3 linked regions of the Styela clava genome follow. The protein of the gene in region 1 purifies or fractionates together with the protein of each later gene. This does not show direct contact. Links are inferred from orthologs where the notes say so. Each region holds a gene or a part of one and is shown on either strand. Other genes may lie near its edges.

Evidence for each region. Proteins that work in one complex are often made in the same cells at the same time.
Region 2: the proteins of uncharacterized protein LOC120343829 (region 1) and MIF4G domain-containing protein B-like purify together in Homo sapiens (affinity purification with western blotting; 3 studies listed by BioGRID and IntAct, with this or other methods). This does not show direct contact. The link is inferred for Styela clava from reciprocal best matches to the Homo sapiens genes SLBP and MIF4GD.
Region 3: the proteins of uncharacterized protein LOC120343829 (region 1) and regulator of nonsense transcripts 1-like purify together in Homo sapiens (affinity purification with western blotting; 4 studies listed by BioGRID and IntAct, with this or other methods). This does not show direct contact. The link is inferred for Styela clava from reciprocal best matches to the Homo sapiens genes SLBP and UPF1.

The regions. Positions count from the first base shown.
Region 1 is NC_135254.1:1,516,887-1,524,503, reverse strand, and holds the start of uncharacterized protein LOC120343829, read right to left. Parts: upstream 3,025-7,617; 5' UTR 2,860-3,024; coding exon 2,663-2,859; intron 1,316-2,662; coding exon 1,224-1,315; intron 188-1,223; coding exon 57-187; intron 1-56. Other genes in the region: uncharacterized protein LOC120343828, read right to left, coding at 6,142-7,329. UniProt on the Homo sapiens protein: RNA-binding protein involved in the histone pre-mRNA processing.
Region 2 is NC_135262.1:16,893,046-16,898,343, reverse strand, and holds MIF4G domain-containing protein B-like, read right to left. Parts: upstream 1,400-5,298; 5' UTR 1,395-1,399; coding exon 717-1,394; 3' UTR 511-716; downstream 1-510. Other genes in the region: AN1-type zinc finger protein 1-like, read right to left, coding at 1-483; methyltransferase-like protein 22, read left to right, coding at 1,555-2,508; RNA demethylase ALKBH5-like, read right to left, coding at 2,752-2,853. UniProt on the Homo sapiens protein: Functions in replication-dependent translation of histone mRNAs which differ from other eukaryotic mRNAs in that they do not end with a poly-A tail but a stem-loop. May participate in circularizing those mRNAs specifically enhancing their translation.
Region 3 is NC_135257.1:5,899,414-5,907,175, forward strand, and holds the start of regulator of nonsense transcripts 1-like, read right to left. Parts: upstream 3,011-7,762; 5' UTR 2,936-3,010; coding exon 2,843-2,935; intron 2,494-2,842; coding exon 2,380-2,493; intron 1,928-2,379; coding exon 1,755-1,927; intron 938-1,754; coding exon 848-937; intron 1-847. Other genes in the region: growth hormone secretagogue receptor type 1-like, read right to left, coding at 6,699-6,879, 7,185-7,320. UniProt on the Homo sapiens protein: RNA-dependent helicase required for nonsense-mediated decay (NMD) of aberrant mRNAs containing premature stop codons and modulates the expression level of normal mRNAs.

The sequences.
Region 1 (7,617 bases):
CCGGAATCTAACTCTGTCCAAAAATTTTTGACAGTGTCACTAAACGAAGGTCTTACCTCATCATCTTCAATTTCGTTTCCATCTGAGCTGCCAGAATATTTCAATTTCTTTTTATATGTTTTGACTTCCGCAGTCTCGCGCTCTGATTTCTCCATCATGTTGACCCAGGAACTTGTAGATTCTTCAACTAAATAGAAGGAAGTTAGGAATATGGATTTCAAATCTGAGAAGTTCGGTCTGTTTTTCTATCGTATTTTTTTAAAGGAATTACAAGCACTCTTACTCAGAAGTGAAAATGACTCATCTCTGAGTAAAATTACGAGAACTCATTCAGAAGTAAAGGAGACTCGTCTCTGAGCAAAGTTATGAGTACTGTCTCAGAAGTAAAGGAGACTCATCTCTAAGCAAAGTAACAGGCACTCACTTAGAAGTAAAGGAGACTCATCTCTGTGCAAAGTAACAGGCACTCACTTAGAAGTAAAGGAGACTCATCTCTAAGCAAAGTTACAGGCACTCACTCAGGAGTAAAGGAGACTCATCTCTGAGCAAAGTTACGTGCACTCACTCAGAAGTAAAGGAGACTCGTCTCTGAGCAAAGTAACAGGCACTCACTTAGAAGTAAAGGAGACTCATCTCTAAGCAAAGTTACAGGCACTCACTCAGAAGTAAAGGAGACTCGTCTCTGAGCAAAGTAACAGGCACTCACTTAGAAGTAAAGGAGACTCAGCTCTAAGCAAAATTACGGGCACTCACTCAGAATTTCAAAAACAAAATCTTTGACAAAACCTAAAATAGTATCAAGTTGACCGACCAACAAATTCAAACAGACAAACGAAAAAGGACCGTGTGCACTTTTTTTGCTCAAAATTTGATTTACGTTGAGTTGAAAATTTCAGTTAAAAACATTCTTGGGATGTGAGGTCTATCACATAATTTGCTTTAACACACTAGGCCAGGGGTAAGCAACAGGAATCCCGCAACCAGTCACGACAAGTCATTTTCAAATTTTCAAAGGGGGGGGGGGGGGGTCTTGGGGGGTTCTGAAAATTTCAAGTGTCTCACTAAAATAATAAATAAATCAAATTTTGCATTGTGAGAATTTTTTTATTCTTTGGCTACATGGAACATCCAATTTTTTTGTGTGGCCCAAGCTAGATATAACCAAGTTGGTTATATGGTTCACCGAAAAGTTGAACATTCCTGAACTTGGCCAATAAACTCACCCGTCAAGCAATCATCGTCTGAATCTGTGGCTCGTTTCCGCAAAGGAACCCTCGTCTCTTCGTCTTTGCTTGTGTATTCTTTACTGTTGAATCTAAATTTATTTAGACAGAATTATGACTATTATCACAGGTAAGAAAAGCAGTATAAAATTCGAGGAATATTCCGTAAAAATTTATTTTGGCGTAATTATGAATATCGTCACAGGTAAGAAAAGCAAGCATACAATTCGGGAAATGTTCCCCAAAGTTCATTCAATAAATCTCTGGTTGTGTATTGTTTACTGTTGAATGTGAATTATTATGGCGGAATTATGTTAACCGCCATGATTAAGAAAAGCAATATAAAATTTTAGGAATAGTGCGTAAAAAAAATTTTCTTGGCGGAATTATGACGACTGACATAGGTATGAAAAGCAGTATAAAATTCAAGAAATATTCTGCCTAATTTATTTAATGTGAAAATCTTTTTTTCAATCTTCACCTTCGAATTTACAAGTATCGTGATTGGCGGAATGATGTTGACTTTTACAGGTTTGAAAACCAGTATAAAATTTAAAAAATATTCCGCAAAATTTATTTTTAATAAATCTCTCGTGTATTTCTTACTGTTGAATCAAAAAGTATATTTCTTGGCAGAATTATGTGGACTGTCTCACCTCTGAATAGTAGTATGAAATTTTAGATATAATTCGCAAAATTTATTTTAAAGTATTGGGAGTCGGAATTTATATTTCAGAAATTTAATGGTGATAAACTTATATATAATTTAGCCGGATCATTTTTGCCTTTAATTTTGTTTATAGATGACTCTTAACTTCTGAGAGTGCATATGACATTACTTTGAGCTATTTTTTTAATAGTTCACGACATTTCAGTGGTTATTTTCACGAAATTTTGCTAAAGGTGGATTCCCTTCTGAGTGGATGTTCCAGAAAATTGCGTCAATAAGAAAAAAAGAGAATATTGGTCAGAGACCGAAGACTTATCGATGGAAAGTTAGGGGATCCCCCAAAACAGCGCTCTTACTCCATAGTGACACATTGTGTCCCATCACTAATTAATTAATTACTCGCTAATTATACGACATAATTCGCCCAAAATCAATAGGCTTCTGGTCCGAGATAAGATGAATGCACATGCAAAATCTGGAGCAGATTCAATCTCGCTTTCGTGAGATATCGCGTGCATCTAACAGACAAACAGATACCTATCAACATACTTACTGATTAAAATCGATAAGTAATAACACAAATATGTTTCTGTTAATGTGCAGCAAGGCTATTGAATCACTCAAAATATCCATAGTTATTCTCGCTACAGTATCCTTGCACTCAGACGGATCCGCCGGCACAAAAGCATAGAAGAAGGATAAGTAGTTAGTCTCGCAGAAACCAAATCATTGTCTCGCACAAAAAAAAAATTGAAAAATTAATATATACCTGGACTGTGACCATCTTCTCCCCCTTTTATCAGAGTCAAGGTCATTTGTAGGTCGTATCGGGCTTCTCAAATCCAAGAGTTCATTTTCTTTCGTATCACCACGACGAGATGAATACCTTGTCGGTTTTTCTTTCGGACTTTCAGTATAAAAACGCCGCCTGTCACGCATCGGTAGATTTTCTTTAGGTGACTCCATTTAAAATATATGGGAATACGGAGGAAAATCACAACACAATAAATTGACAGAATCCACTCATTCAGTTGCAAGCACAAAAAAAGTATTTTTTTCAGTAATGTTAATTTCCAAATCTTTTTTCTTCGTTTCTGTGATTATATCCAAAAATATCTTCCTTTTTAGGTATTTTATGATAAAATCTATAAAAAAAGGTACATTTTCGTTTTAAAATGCAACAATCACGAGACTTTTTAAAACATTTTAACCTTGGTGAAAGTATAAAATCGGACATTTTTACAAAAACACAATAATGATTCAATTACATTCAAAATAACAAAGTATAAATCCCAGGGTGAACTGAAGCTGAATTATGTAGGGCAGGGGTTCTCAACCTGGGGTTCACGAGAAGATTTCCAGGAGTACTTGGATGGCAGTCGAGTTTTTGTGTGATGATCCTTTTCAATATCCTTTATTACTACCCTAGGAAAATGCGTGTCGTGTCCATTGAAACTAGATGCCAATTTGATTGATGGTAGATTTTCCCTGATGTTGCGTTGTTGTGATTGTGGCGCAACAATGTGAAATTCAAGGTTTTGCATGCAAACTGTGAAATCTCTAAAGCTGGGAGCATTGGAGAAGTGATTATGCTTATTGAAACTTTGGAAAGATTTTATAAATTCATTAGTTAGGCAGACGGCAAGGGCAATACTATCAACAAGACGATTTATTTAAGTTACATAAGGTCAATAAATTGGTGTTGCAACAAATTGTTAGTCAATATATCACAACTTTGTTCGGTGTCTGATTTCCGGGGGTTCGCATTGATTGTTTCGTGACTCGGGGGTACTTGACAGAAAAAAGGTTGAGATCCCCTGATGTAGAGTATTTAAATTCGCAAAATTATCATTTTGCGATATCAAATCCTAACGGGTATAGCAGTGGTTCTCTTCATAAAGCTGGGCCTCCTTTTTTGAATTTGTCTGGCGCACTATCTTAAAATACCTATTTAATAATGAGCAGAAATTTAACCCGTTTAACATGTGTCACTATAGTTCAATTTTAATTCTAGCAGCAATGAATGATGATGCTGATTATTCATTCATTAGAATTTCCATTCTAATTATTAGGGCGAAAGTGTATTTTTTTGCACTCAAATATTTTTCATTTTTCTCTTGCATAAAAAAGTTAGACCACAGAAGTTTGTGCAACAAAAATGCGCCACTAATGGAAAAAGGTCAAGAACCACTAGTTCAGACAATCAACTTTAAATTTTGCCATTTGTTTATAAAATCGTGAACACTAGCAGAATACAGTCAAAATCTATGTTTATTCAACTTTGAAACATTCTCTGTTGAAGATAATGAGTTTTCATGCAATTTGTTTATAAAATCGTTAAACACTGGCTGTCCATAGAACAAAAACTAAAAAAGAGAGATAATCAAACACATAATTAGCAAGAGTGTCATGAGTCCTGAACAAGGCTTTGTAAAAAAATTACTGAAACACGTTCACAAATAAATTCCCATTAAACTTGAAAAATAAAATAAAAATGGCGCAGCTAGAAGTTTCAAAAGCCCTTCTTGAAAATTCCAGATGATCAAAAAGCGAATCGGTCTGTAAATGTGTGGCTAGTATAAACAGATTCTTTATTATACAATCATCGTTGACAAGGCGCTTATTAACATAGGTAAAGGAGATTGAAAGTCCTGGCTGCGTCTGTGAGTCTGACTTCAAATGCCACAAATGATAGTAATCGGTAGAACAGACAAGCGAGAAATCAATAACACATAAAAACTATCACAAATTCATATCAATAAAATTTTGAACAATATAACGAAAACTGAGATGATTCTTTATCTTAAAACATGTAACAAGAGCATGATTTTTCCAAACTTTACAAAATACAAAAAATAATGACATTGTCTGTAACTTTCGTTTGAAATATATTTGTATAAGTAAGATAAAAGACTCTTGTCTAGTTCACTCTTGCATTATATGGGTCCACCAGTGTAAAAGTATAGAAGAAGGATAAGTGGTTGGTCCCAAGAAAACCAAGTAGCTCAAGTTTTCAATTTCCCTCTTTTTGGGTCAGTTTTAATTATTTCAAATATAGATTCTGAGCAGAAATCATGAATTTTATAGAAAACTTGTAATTACAGTTACTGAATGCATGAAATATATTTTTTTCTATTAGGTTTACCTTGAAATTCCATTTGAACAACATTAATAAGAACAAAGCAAGAATTATTTTTTAAATTTTCTCTGCTTTATGGTATAGTTTCTGAATATGGAATTTTTACTTTACCAAAATGAGCAATTTCTATAACAAAAAAAAATGATTCACTAAAATTAAAAAACAAAACAATAATAAAAGTCGAGCAATTGATAGCCATAATATACATATAGTGAGTCCACGGGCTTTTGAAATCATATTGCCGCAGTAATACAAAAGTACAGATGCCATATTTTTAAGAAATATATTTTTTGATCATCTATCAATAGAAAACCATGGGCCATCTTTAGGTCTGGGTTTAAACCTGTACCTGTTTTAGGTTTTACTTTAGTTAGTGCGTCATGTCAATATGTAGGTTTTCTTGTACAGATTGAAATATGAAATTTTCTCAAAACTTTAATACGTGACGTGAGCTAAAATGGTTTTACTGCAACGATAAAGTATTAATGTTCTGATAGACTATTCCCAGTTATCCACCCCCCCCCCCCCCCCATTCAAAATTCCAGCGGAATCTGGAATTCCTAACACCACCCAAACTGGTATTAATTATTAGTAATGAGTAGAGAGTAACTGAAAAAAGTTCATTCTGATTTATTTTTCATATCTCACTATCAGATGTCAATTGATCAACATGGCTAATTATCAAATAAAACTTCTGACTTATTCCTAAAATCAGAAAATTACTTTTCTAAATAGACCTATTTTGATGTTTCTAAATGTTTAATTCATTTTTGATCGAGTTATTTGAAGTAAAATTCCAAATACAAAATGATTGAGATGCATATATGATTATTCAACTAGGCTTGATGTAATTCTTGTGTCAAAAATACTGCCCCCACCCCCCTCAATAAAAAATATCCTCCACTGGATATTGCAAGCAAACAGTTTTAAATTTTCATACAAAATTGTCAAAATTAGGAAGTGATGATTCATCACTAGTAGTAAAGCATGACTAATCAAATATTTGATGTGAAGTTTTTGAAAAGTTTTTAGGCTGTTTCACGAGAAACAGTGCAGTCTCATTAGTTCTTCAATATTGGGTCGTAACCATGGCAACCTTCTCCCTCAGCTCAAGATATTATTTTTTTCACGGTTTCTTTTATGAACCCTTTTTTGTCTGTGAGGTCGAACTCTGGGTATTGTTCGTAAACTTGCAAGATGACAGCTTTCATTGTCAAAGCTCCGAGATCAGCATCTTGAAGACAATTTTCGATGAACTTACGGACTTCTGCGTTTGACGGCGGCGTTTTCTGTTTATGCATGAGCGGCTCGTCATCTGATGTATCATCATCCATCCCCGACGTTTTTTTCGACTTTGATTTCGGTTTTGTAATCTTAATTTTCGCTTTTTTATTTGGAGTTGACTTTTTAGCAGGTATTTTCAAAGGCGTTTTTTTCTTTTTTTCGTCTGCGATTTCTTTTTTCTTGCGCTTTTTTACTGGCGTAGCACCATCGGAAGTTGCGTCCCCATTTTCAACAGCATTCGCACTTCGTTTAATTTTTTTGGTTCTCTTTTTTTTCTGTGTGGGATCCTTCTTTTTCTTTTTTTCCGGTACCGGTTTATCCTGCGGTTTCGGACAGAGACACCAAGCCATGAAAGCATCGATCAATTCTTCTTTATTCCCTTTAATGCTTGGAACGTCGCAGACACTCATGGCCCATTTCAAATTATCGACTGTGAATTTGCCGATAAACTCTTCCTTTTTCTCGTACTCTGGGGTACCTTTTTGTATGTTGAAGCCGCAGAATTCTCGAATATTTTTCTTGCATGCGAGATGTGTGCCTTGTACGTTATAAAAAAATTTGTGAATAATTTTTAAATCCTCTGCAGAGTTACGTTGTAGTTGATATTCCACACGAGGGTGATTACCGATGCGGATCCCACTGCCTTTCGGTATTTCAACATTCTTTTTCTTGTCAACAGCGGGACTAGTTGCCTCGTCATCGTACGTGAAACGTTTAATTTTCTTTCGCTCTCTTTTTGCCTCTAGAATTTCAACAGGCCGCTCTAAAAGCCCGGGAGGAAGGGACTCATCAGAATCACTGTCACTTTGTTCATCATCGCCCACAATTGCGTCTGATTTTTCCGCATTTATTGAAGAATCCACAATTGTCGATTCATCTGCGACGCTCTGCTCTGTTTCTGATTGGTCAACTTTTTGTGTAAGCTCTGCCTTGGGTTCTGTTTCTACCTCTTGAGCCTCTGGCTCCACCTTTTCTTCATGCTCCACTGCCTTTCGTGGTTCTGTCTCGGACATGCTTGGTTGAATTATTTTTAAAAACTAAAGCTAAAAACAAATCTAGAATTTAAGAGAAAAACAGGATCAGTTATAAAATCTAGCAAAGAATAATTCAGAACTGATATTTTATAAATTATGATAATGCAACAAAAAAATTGAAAGTAACAGTACTTTAGTAGGGTTCCATATGCTCGCTCTGAGCAAGGCCCTGAACACGTAGTAAAGAGCGTTATCTGACAAAAAATATTCTGTATGATATCTTAGAAATTACCATAAAGAGAGCAAACTAACCATAAGGCAACAGTA
Region 2 (5,298 bases), on another chromosome or scaffold:
TTTATCTCCAACAGACTTTTGTTTCAGTTTCATAAGAGCAACCTTAGCAGACAGTTTTTGATTCTTCTTACTAACAGACTTTTTTTTGGAATTATCACATACAGACTTTTTTGGATTAGTAGAAGAAGTTTGAAATGTTTGCATACCAGCTTTTCGATGTGGTTCAGATTTTAATTGATGACATTTATGATCCTCTGGAAGGCGATGCTTCAAACAGAAATGCTTCCCACAGAGATTACATTCCACTTGTACGAGATCGCTCTGATTGCATTCCTCAAGTGAACAACTATAAGAACGAAGGGGAGTAACTCTAGTCAATGAGGAACCTTCTTTAATATAGTTGACATCTGAACAGCTATGTGCAGTTCTACCCTTGTGATCCAAACAAAATATCTGAGAGCATCCATCACATTCAAATGGTAGGAAATCAAGTCGCTGACATTGAAGTAAACTGCATTGTTTACCAATATTGAGTTCTGCCATAGCTTATATGAATTAAATATCTTGTACCTTGATACCAGAAATTATAAAAATAATAACCGGTTAGTATCAATTAATTCTCCCAACATAAATATGAAAATGTATGCAATTGAATGATACTATGATTATGTATAATTATTTATGTAATATAGGTATATATTATTTTGTTTAAATGAAATAACATAAAAAAATAAGGTATCATTGAGAATCGTATATAAAAATAAAGCATAATAACATTAGACGCTGTTTGTATCATAATAATACGTATTAGCATCAGAAGACAATTTCCAGTTTCCAGCTCGAAGTTCAATAATTTCAAGCAGCAGCAATCTTGAAAGCTGTGATGTGGTTTCTGACAAAAACAATTCGCGAATTATACAAAATAGTTCAGCCATTTTCTTCTCATTCAATCCTTCCAATTCCTCTCCATGAAGTTGTATTTGCATAACCAAACATTGAATAATTTCCTCTCTTTTATTGCTCTGCTTCGCCACGCTTGCCAAAGAAGCCAAACACTCGAACACTGGAGTTACTAAAGCAACAAGTGCCCTCCCATCAATACGGATGTGGTGAAAAATGCTACTCAAAAAGGTCACAAATGCTATCAATCTGGCTTCATTATGTTCTTCAGTCGTTCTGATGTTGGTGTACTCTCTTTGGAGTTTTGTGAGCAAAATGTTCCGAAATCGTGTATCATTTGATATTTTGCCTTCATTTTCTACAAATATGCTGCACAGTTTTGCAGCATTACTTCCATATTTTACATCTGAAATTGCTTGCAGTACAATAATTTCAACTAGGGGTCTGATATCTTGTTGGTTATTGCCGCTCGTGTTCCAGCCACCCAGGGCTTTACTTACAGCATCTCTGTTCTTCCTGTTAAATCCAAGCTGTTCTAACATATTATGCTCCATAGCCTGGCTTCCCCAATAATAATACTGAAAGCAACAGTACGCAGAAAATCACTTTGTTAATCATAGCAGCAGCTGCAAATCGGGCGAAAAGCTGATTTCAGCTCTGCACGAGTGCGAAATCGTAGACCAGCTTTGTGAGCCACCGAGTGACAGAAGCAAGATGTGCGCTTGTGCGGACGAGTTGATACTCTCCGACGTCCAGTTAAATCGAGATAAAGATTCCCAAATAGTTTTGAATAAGAAACATGGTGAATATGCAATCCACCTTGTCGATTTTCACATAAAATTACCTGGATGCTTGATACAGATTGTTAGTGAGCGAACTGAAAAATCTTTCGGAATAACTGATTCGATCCATGACGATGACGGCGATTTGATTGTTTCTAGAAGCGCAGCTAACTTTGACAAGCAGAACCAAACGCTCAATTTTCGTATACACCATGCAATGGAAACACATCTTGCCGACGTTGGCTTACAAGTATGGATGGGAGCGCTTGGGATGATAGATTTCATGTTAGACAACGTTCAGTTATTCCGCAATAAACAGATTTTGGAACTTGGGGCAGGCGTTGGCCTGACTGGTATTGTTGCAGGGACATTAACCAATAAAATCACTCTCACGGACGTTGGAGAGAACATTTTGGGTCTCTGTGAAATGAATTATCACGCAAACCAAAACATCTTTCAAAGTCCTCCCCACTGCTTCGAAATTAGGGAACTGAACTGGCACAAGCCCACTTCAATAAAATCACTGTGCATACCCAAACCTGACATAATTATGGCATGTGATGTAATTTATGACAACGATATCACAAATGCGTTTTTTCAAACTCTCCAAATCTTGCTGAATGGGGACACATACACCAAGGAAGGTTGCCGACCTTCAATTGTAAAAGTGTACATCTCTACAGAGAAGAGACTCAACTTCACTTTGGAGGACTTGGATATCACTTGCAAAGAGTACAATCATTTTTTATGCAAACTGAGCGAACTCGAGAATACATTTCAATCTTCATTGTCTGTCCAAAGAATTGATATGGAAGACATAAGTCAGTTCTGCCAATACAATCAGACTCAACAATTAGAAATATGGGAGATTCAAAAACAATTGTAACAACATATTTTATATGAGTGTATTATTGTTTTGAAAGTTTACTTGAAAATTGTACAGAACTTGCACAAAAAGAAAGTGAATAGAAGTAAAATCAAATGAGATTAAATTGAAAGATAAAATGCTTGCGCATAAGCATATACAGAATAATTTATAACTTCTGGAACCTGCTTTTTACAATTATTGCTGGTGAAAAAATTACAATATATTGGTTAATTGTATTATACACATTGACAACATCCAAGACTATAGAAAAAATGGTTTAGGTCTCCTTGTTGCCTTTTTCGCAATAATATTTTGACTTGTTTTCAAATCTGAAGAATCTTTGTGTCCATCATCCTTCTTGACCTAATGAGTAAATGGAATAATGATTATTATTCAACTTGATAACGTTGAAACTAAAATTGCCAATCAGTGTTGAACTTGTGAACGTTCTTTACCTGGTCCAGTGTTTCTGCCATTCCTTACATATACTATCTCTATGCATATTGTTACATATATTACTTCGATGTTACATCTCTGTAAATATATCAAAATCATTTGCTCCAAAGGATACTTTTTGAGGTGTAGTTACCAGGGTTGGCCAATATCGAATAGTTCACTATTTCGAATACATTCGAAATTATTTTTTCCGAATATGAAATTTCGAATACTTTGAAAATAAAATCCACTAATTGAAGCTTATCTAAATGTATGTAGGAATTTCCATACAATAAGCAATGGAATAACTGCTATCTAACGTTACAACCTAGCCAAATTACCAGGCATTTCATATTTGCAGATTATTGCAGTATATATTTTATATACCATGAGTCATGTTAACAGAATTAAATTAATACGACAATAGTGGTATCGATGATGGATTTGAATATTTGCGCAACACAAAATCATCCTAGTAAAACGCCCATACTTTTAAATACCAACCATTATCCAAATTATTTGTCAAAAAGCGGGATAAAGTATGAGGTATTTTTCCGACTTGTAACAATTTTTTCGTGAATACAAAAATACGAATCAAAAATTAATCATATTCGGGAACTTTACCACACATTTTAAGTCCGCAGATCGCCGTTGTATGTTTGAGTAATAATACTTTTATTATTTCATAAATATGAAAATAGGAATCAAAAATTAATTATATTCGGGAACTTTACCACACATTTTAAGTCCGCAGATCGCCGTTGTATGTTTGAGTAATAATACTTTTATTATTTCATAAATATGAAAATAGGAATCAAAAACTATTTATAATCGGGTAGTTTACCACTCATAGGTAGTTTTCGTACTCACGAAAAATTGTCACAAGTCGGAAAAAGAATTTATACTTTATCCCGCTCTTGGGAACTAATTTGGATAATGGTTGCCATTGGTTAATTAAAATGCCCTACCGTGTTAATTCAATTCTATTATCATAACTCAAATGTTGGTAAATCGGGCAGTTCACCACACATTTTAAGGCCACAGATCGCCGTTGCATTTTAGAATTATAATAGTTTTATTATTTTGTAAATACGAATCCGAAATAAATTATGATTGCGCAGTTTACCACGTATTTCATGTCCACAAATACCCGTTGTATTTGGTATTAATACTTTCATTATTTTATCAATATAAAAATAGGAATCAATATTTAATAATATCGGTCAGTTTACCACACATTTTATGTCCACAGATTGTCGATACAACCATGAGTTACGTTGAACAGAATTAAATTAATACGGCATGACATTTTAAATGCTGGTACCAGTCATGGATTGGATTATTTTGCGCAACAAAAAATCATCCTGGTAAAGGATCGATACTTATAACTATCGTTATCAGAATTATTTGCCAGAAATTATTTTCTAATAAATCGACCTTGTTTTTCCAACTTGTGACAATTTATTAGATATCGTAACAATGACGGCTATAAATACCGTATTTCCCGGCTAATAAGTCCACATGGCAAATAGGACGATGTCTATTTTTAGCACTCATAAAAGGGGTTTTTCCATATAGGCCTCCAATAAGACGGGTAGACAAATTGTGTCCCTGTTGTTCAGTAATGCTGATATGCGCTAATAATTTTATATGTTAAGGACCAGATCATGTTAGTTTGGTAGAATCATACTCACAGAATTAACTATTTTTAACAAATGAGTGGTAAATTCAAGTCGTAAAGCGGCAATCATTTTAGACAACATATTAACCCGAATGTCAAAATAATTTTGGAATGTGATAAGTACTACACTGTACGTCCATGGGTTATTTCACAGCTATGTTTTCCTATCCCTGTCCTGTTCTGCTGAATCGGCAAAACGAAAGGGTCACAAATCACTTTATCTCGGTGGCCGTGTTTCTCTTTAAAGTAACGATAACCAGCCTGCGATTAAATATCATGATTGGCAGACCCTAAGACCCAAATATAAGGTTACACAAATCATGCTTGAGAAGACTCATGCGAATAATAAGCAGGACACATAGAAATAAAATAAACATACTTTCTCAATTTTTCGACGTAATGGAAATGAATTTGTAAATTAAAAGCCACGTACACGAATGACGGCAATGTCCACCCACGGAAACGTGCAAATGTGTCGCAACACTATGAGACGTATGGTCTCACAGAATATAAACAATCAAAGTGCCGATTCTATTTCATCGTCATTACAATACGTGAGACAGCGTAAAAAGTCGTTTGAAGATTCCCGTTAAAACGAAACACCACGTTTAGGGCGAAAAGTGGCTACTATTCGTAATTATTCGAAAATCAGCCAAATTGGTATTCGAATACTTTGATATTCGAATACATTC
Region 3 (7,762 bases), on another chromosome or scaffold:
TTAAAATTTTAGTACAAAAAATGGATTTCAATAATATAAATCCTTGTATTGAAGTAGGCTACATAAAATATCTTTGATTTGGATTTTGTTCAAACCATTAATATCCTTTGAACACAGGGATAGTTTATTCCCTGGCACTGCCTTATACAGCCAAAATAATATACCTGAATTTAACCTTAATTATTTGATCAATTTATTAAAGACAGTAAAGGGTAAGATGACAAACTCATAATATTTTGCAACATAGCACACCAAAAATTTCAAATGGACTCGAAATATCTGAATCAATTTATCACTTAATACTCGCTTCAGAGAAAACAAATACAAACAATATCAGAGTAAAAAAATTGATTGCTTGTTCATATCATATTTGATTAGAATAACTAATCTACTTTTCAACAGATTATTAATGCAAAAAGTAAGCATAAAATCAATATAATAAGCTGATAAATCTATACTCCATAACAGAGATTGCACATAACAATTGTGAATCTGAAATAATAACTCATTCAAAATCACTAATTGATTGCAATTATTGTGTATGACATTTTTCTAGTAGTAAGGACAACTGTAAAATAAATTGTACAAATAAAAATTGAGATGGACAAAACAAAGTAAATTTTATTTCTTACAAAATATAAATATCAAATATGGTGATTTTGAAGTATTGCTCAAGTGTCTATTATTAAACCTGGATGATATGGTATGTTAAATCACGATCGAACTGGAGCATTAAGCAAATACTGAAATTTAAAAAAAAAACGGCTGAGGGTAACCAGAAATTAGTAATTAACCCTTGCAAATCAATGATTCGAAGAAAAAATAATTTTATAAAATATCATGTTACCTTCCTGAAGTATTTCCACGGCCATTGCAAAACCATTTCTTTGTTGTATTACACATCACAACACAGTTAGGATCATGAATTCCACAATACCTAAAAATTACAGTTGTTAATGCGACAAACCTTTTGATATATACCTAATTCTTATATGAATATATATTCAGGAAAATAGTGATGGTGAGTTTAATAATAAATGATGATATTAATAAATATGAAAGGCTTCTTTTTATACAGCAGTCTCGAAAATTGCCTGGAATTTTTCTCATAGCACCTCAAGGATGGCCACAACTTATTTTTCATTTTCATATTTCTCATTTGAACAGATGCGAAAATACGAGAAAGCGGGTTTAATAAGCAGCATCTAGGTAGAAAGCTTAATGATTTGTCAATCATATTAGCCCCAGATGTGTTTGAGCAACCTCTTTCACCTTATTTCACTGAGTAGGAGTATTAAGCTAATTACATGAATTTTAAAAATCTGTCTGTACCGAACAGTCTGTATGATGAAATTTAAACAGTACTGCAGGCTGACCCTACATAATAATAACAAAGCTTATATGCATAATCAAATCATTATTTGGCAAGAATTGAACTAATGAACTGAATTTAACTCATGTCAAAATGCAGTATTTTATGATTAATTCAGGGTGATCGTTTCTCTTCACATAGGAGGCACAGGCACAAAATTTAGTAGATATTGCTGCTAAGAAATATGTGTAAGTAACATAAACTTCTATCATTTTATTAAATATATTACTAGGCGCTATGAGGCCTATGCTTGACAAACAAAATTTTTTCATAAAATTATCCCCACTGTTTGAAATCAGGAAACAAAAACAGATAAAATAATAATAAAAGCTCCGAGCATTCAATTATTTTTTAATCATGTGCTTGTTAATAAAAAATTCACCTGCAAGCATGTTCGGGAAGATCCTTAGTATAATAAGTATCTTCTTCGTCTTCTTCCTCAAATCTCAGATCAGCAACCCCCTGGGTGGCAACATGAATATGTTCTTGTAATCCACCAATATCTTCACCATCCCCCACTTCTTCATTGTGATTGACTCCATCTACATCACCAACCTTAATGGAGATAAAACTTGATAATATTTGGTCTGCGGGTTTGACAACCCTGATCTAGATAATTCGTAGTTGAGAGAAATCACAAAAAAAAGATTGAGAAATTGATTTCGAGTTCTTCTACCAGAAGCAGTCCTGATAGTATTGGTATAATGTTCACTGCTCATTGATGATTATAAAACACGAGTACGCAGTTGTCAAACATATCGTTTGCATATGACTCTGTCGAATTGAAATATAAACGAGATCACTCACATTGTCAAGCCAATGCTAAACAAAATCACAAATTATAACAAAAGAGCAGAATTGAATGAAAAATTATTCTTGTATGAAGTCGTAGGCAAACTTCATCATTGTTTCAAGATTAACACAGTCATTTCTGGTTATAATTCTCCCAACTTATTACCATGTTAAAATACTTTTAGCATATGACTTATAATGGAATAAAGAGTTACCTGACTCTGACTGTTCTCTGCAATATCAAGTTGGCTTGCTTGACTTTGCTGTGTCTGAGTTTGCGTCTGGGTTTGGGATGGAATTGTGAAGTCTGTGAACTCATATTCACTTGCCTGAATAACAGAATTTTTTTGAATATTACTTTGTGATACTGTAGCAATTTTTACTTTAAGCAATTCTGTATTTAAAAACACAGTTAAATCATGATTAAATCAATGAATTGATAAGAGCAACTCACAGTAGCAAAGTATTAGTTTTATTAAAACTTGAATAAATATGTCTATAATTATATATTTATGCCTATAACTGTATCAGAGTTATAAGTTGCACCCCATCCACTTGATTCAGACCGTAACCAATTACAAAATAATTTTCAAGTTGTACTGTGTCCTGAGAGGTGAAGTGCAGTTGATTCCGGTTGTTTTGATATATTTAAAATAATTTCAAACAAGCGTCTCTCACCTGGGTATCTCCTCCAACAGTCAAATCGCCATCTTCTGTGTCCAAAAATGTCAGAGTTTGGGAACTTGGCCCATATGCATCAACGCTGCTCATTACAATCAGAAACTGTCCTCGCTATTTCACAATTTCAGTTTTATCTGTATATATCTGATTCAAATTCAAATTTTTACTGAACTAATTTATGGCAACGTTTAAATAACCAGAATGGGAAAGAATAACAGTCTAGTTCTTCCCAGTAATAAACCTGGTCTAATTTAGACCCATCGATAGTCAAACATGTAGCTTTGTGAGTAATATGTTCGAGTAATAGTACGACACAGTTCTCCTATTCCAAGAATAGACTCTACATCCAGACATCAATTATACTACTGTACTAATGAAGTGAGTGCAGACTTCTTCTTTATGAGGAAGTCTGGGCCTCCCTATTGGCAAACAGACACCGCGCAATAAAATGGAAGGAAGCGTGATTTAAAAACGTTACCATTCGATTCCTCGAAACAAAAAATCAGATTTAATGGAGGAAAAAAATTTTACAGTAGAATTTTGGCGGCTGAAGCATGTTAAATTATTATAGATACATGCCGTGATCTGCCGCAGTGCCAGACGCCCTCATTTCAGAGACTATTAATAGAGTATTATTTTTTATTGAAATAAAGTACCGGATTCCAAATAATTAAATATAGGGACATTTTGTAATGCTGTAATGCTGTAATGGGAGAACTGTGTCTTTTATCTTTACTTTCTGAGTTTTAGGCAACTTCTTCAAGGAAATAGACTATTCTGAAACTTCGCTGTTTGTGATAGATATTTATTGAGATTTTGTTTCTGTTTAATTATCTGTTACTGTTTAGTTATCATGCAGATATTGTTACATTTTTGAGGCAAATAAACATCGGTCTCACTACCGTACTTACTGAATAGAGCGCGAAACAGCGCAGAAGAGAGGGAAAGTGCGTGAAAAACAGCGCAGAAGAGAGGGAAACATTTTTCTTTCATGTGCACCAAGCTAGCGCACAACCTGAACGCAGTAGGTTAGGGTGCGTCATGTGAGGCTATTTAAAGATGTTGAAGATTAATGATATAAACTCGTGATCATTCCCTACTACAGTACTACTGTATACCGCTACTGCTTCCCATCAAATTGTTTAAAATTTCACGAAAGCTAATAAACAATGAAAGAAAATGTTTCCCCATCTCTTCTGCGCTCTATTCAGTACCGTAAGTAATAAGACCCAATAAACATACATAGTCTACATATCAAGACAGCAAGAGAAGGATACTGGTACCGGTATTGTGTGCATCTTTTTGGCACTTTTGTTTAATTATTTCAATATTAATTGGCTTATTAAAGATGATGACAGCTGATCAATTTATAGATTCGTTTACTGTACTAAGTGCAGAAGTGTCTGTACTGCTGTATGTCAAAACATAGTCTATAAACTGATAAACAAGCAATTTCCTCCCATACAGTACTGTGCCTAATACCACTAATATACCGGTAATGTTTATCTGTGTTTTCGAACACAAACAGGACAGGAGCACCGCCTGACCGTGGATCAATCCTAAATCTGAACGGCCTTTCAGCATTTGTCTCTAAGTTACGGTATCTGAACAGAATTGTCTGTTATCTTCTGCAATGCCCAGGTCGCAAGTGATAGGCTACTAAAAACATCGCGTAGGCTAATTCTGTATCGGTACCGGTACTACCTAATTCAGTAGGGGTTTCTGCTCGCATAGGCACCGGTCGCAGTTTAACAGATAACGTTAAATCTGACAAACTGGGGGAAGTTCCGTAACCTTCTGGCAAATATCAGCAGAATGTCCAACTAAAAAACACCACCTAATGGAAGAGTATCCAACTGCATGATCATATGGTGTAAACGCAATGTGTAAACGAGGTTTAGAATGTTGCGCAAGTACACTTCCATAAACATACGCTGAATGACTTCACCATTCTCGAGCAAGAACGAAACGTACTTGAGATTGAGACTCGAAATTGTTTATAACTCGAAAAATTCAAATTTAGCATAGCCTCAATGACGACACAATGCATTTTTATTACATCACTACATATTCAACAATTATATAAATGAAATATAGATTGATGATAACAGAGCACGTGCCGAGGGCGAGGTAAGCAAGCCGTGGTTTTATTGCCCGCGGGTTATGAGTTTTTCTGGCGTTTCTGGTTTTATGGGGGTTATCGCGAATTATGGAAAAGCGCAATTATGTCATCATCATTTTATTAGAATGCGAATGTCTTCTTCTTCTTTATTAATATTATTTGCAATGTCTTTCTAGCCTAAGTTTAGTTACTGGTCACAGTCTCTAAATGTTAGGTATAAACGACGCAAAATGTACCATCTGGGAAAAAAATTATGTCACAAATGGAAGTCCATGAATGGATAAGATTTACATATTTATCCTGGGGGAGAGGAAAGCCGATAAGACGGTTTAATCATATGGCGAATCATGGAATCTCGTCCGGTTAACAGTCCATGTGGTTTATGGAATCAGTTATTTTTTGTTTTCAGATGCATGGACTTGTGGAGTTCTTGGAATATCACAATCTTAAGAATTAGCTGAAGCCGTACACGTCAATGACTAAAACCGGTGAAGGGTATGAATAATTATTGGCATAAACTACGGGTCGGCACTCGGCAACCTTCAGTATTGTAGAAGCCATTTTTCCATCAACTTCAAACCTGCTCGGAGCCACATGTTGCGATAATGATGAAATGGAAAGAACTTGTTGGGGTACATGGGCTCGGCAATGTGGCGCATCGTGCTAAGCGTTAGGAATACGCTTGCCACCGCATCTCTGATTACCTTGCGTGGGTTTGCAGGTCCGAATCCCATGCGGGGATGATTATGTGCGAGAGAATTGCTGGACTCCTCGCCGCCGTAGGGTGGTTCACGTAACCGCTCGTCCGTTACGCCTCCTCCGCCATCAAGTCCATGCTTCCGAAAACAAATAACTGGCTAACCAATCCCATACCCGACCTGAAATGGTAACCGGACGAGAGACCGTGGTTCGGACTATGATTAAGTCGTCTTATCGACTTTCCTCTCTCCCGGGATAAATATGTAAATCCTATCCTATGTCGCACATCTGTGTCTTAGGCCAGTAAGGTCTTGAACATGTATCCCGTCTCTGTTATACCGTTTAATTATTATGCAAATATTGTTACATTTTTGAGGCAAACAAACATACATACATATATACATTGTAAAATGAAAAGAGAAAGTTTGTTTTGACAGATTGAATCCCCGTAATGCGACCCATTTTTACTGCTCGCGACTTCTACTTTGGGAACCGCAATTTTGTGGCATTTACACCGAGACATCAATTCCACGTATTTTTCAACACCAGTTTGTTCTAATCTCGAACGATTGGCCAAAAACCCGACGTTTCCTCACCATCAATATTTCATTCTCCAAATGAACCAACTGCGATAGATGAAACTCACGCTTACCTAGCTTGGATACCTTCGACAGCGAAGTAAGGTTGTGCAGAGTCAAAACATCGTTAGATATCAGTGGCTGCTTTATCTAGCCTTGTTCTGAGCAAAAGACACGAGTAAGCATTGTTCGTATTACGTCATTGTACAAGACAAAAGTTTGCCCCCTTTTCCACAATAAGAATTTGGCTGGCTACGGTATTGATCATATTTTAGTACGTTCATTCCTGCACTGAAATTAAGAGTTTCTGATGTGTTTTCATAAGTCATAAGAATATACACTCGGGTCAATTCGACGAAGCAGATATATTATATACACACGAACAAGACATATAAACAACACATTGCTATAAAATGAATAATACATTCACATTCAATTCTATCTCATCAAAGGGCTACATTCTTATCGCCATATCTGGGTTATATGAGTTGGTTGTGACTCCCGTGTACATTTCATATTTGACACCCAGCTTATATCCGGTGGTGTTTAATTTACACAACGGTAACGCTTGTTTTTCTGACATTTTCTTCTTTTGTTTCTGATACGTTGATGCTGTCTGACGATTCGTAGTTTTTCTGTATTTTCAGAAAACGTTTAGTTCTTTTTCTCAGTGGGCTGTATGAATAAGAAATTTAGTTTTCAATTTCATTCTGCTAATTCATAACCGCCGAAATTGGATGGTAAGAAATATAAACACTGTTTGCGATCTGCAACTTTTTGTCAGGTGATACCAGGAATGCAGGAAATAACCACTTTTAAGAATTAGATAGTCTATCATAATGTTCTACCCCGATAAAATTTTGAATTTCAGGTTAGGCTTGATCTGGTCCGTTCGAACTCTACAGAATGGCTTTATTTTTTAAGCATAGAAAAAACTTACCGGGATGACAGGTTGTAAAAAAGTGGATTAAGGCATTCTGATATTCGCAATAGAATATATGCGACTGTGAGAGTCAACCATTTCGTTCGCACAGTGAAGAGGTCCCTCAGATTCAATATTTTTGTCATGCGGTAGGCTAAAATAATGCAGAATCAATCTTATGGTATTTAATGAACAATTTCACCTTGGAACCTGAGACAAGTTAACAAATAAATAAAAATGAATAAGAAATACTAGTTAGGCGACCTTTGATGTAAGAAATATTCAATTTCAATGATAACAGAGATAATGATAGCGATTGCTTACAATTTTTTTATTTGACAAATAATAAAAATCTTGACCACTGAACAATCTAAAACGTATCATAAATTTGATCACTCATATAAAATTTAGATGCGATATTGTGTGTATAAAAGCTTTCGTTGCAACGCATACGTAAAGTTGTTACACAAATAGCGGTGACACTCGAAGTGGTATGTCGAATCAAGATTATCAGTTCGGGTTGGTCATTCTGATTGATATGGAAAGTATTTTTAAATCCAACTGCCTAAATAGGTTGGAATCCTATTTAAAGTGAA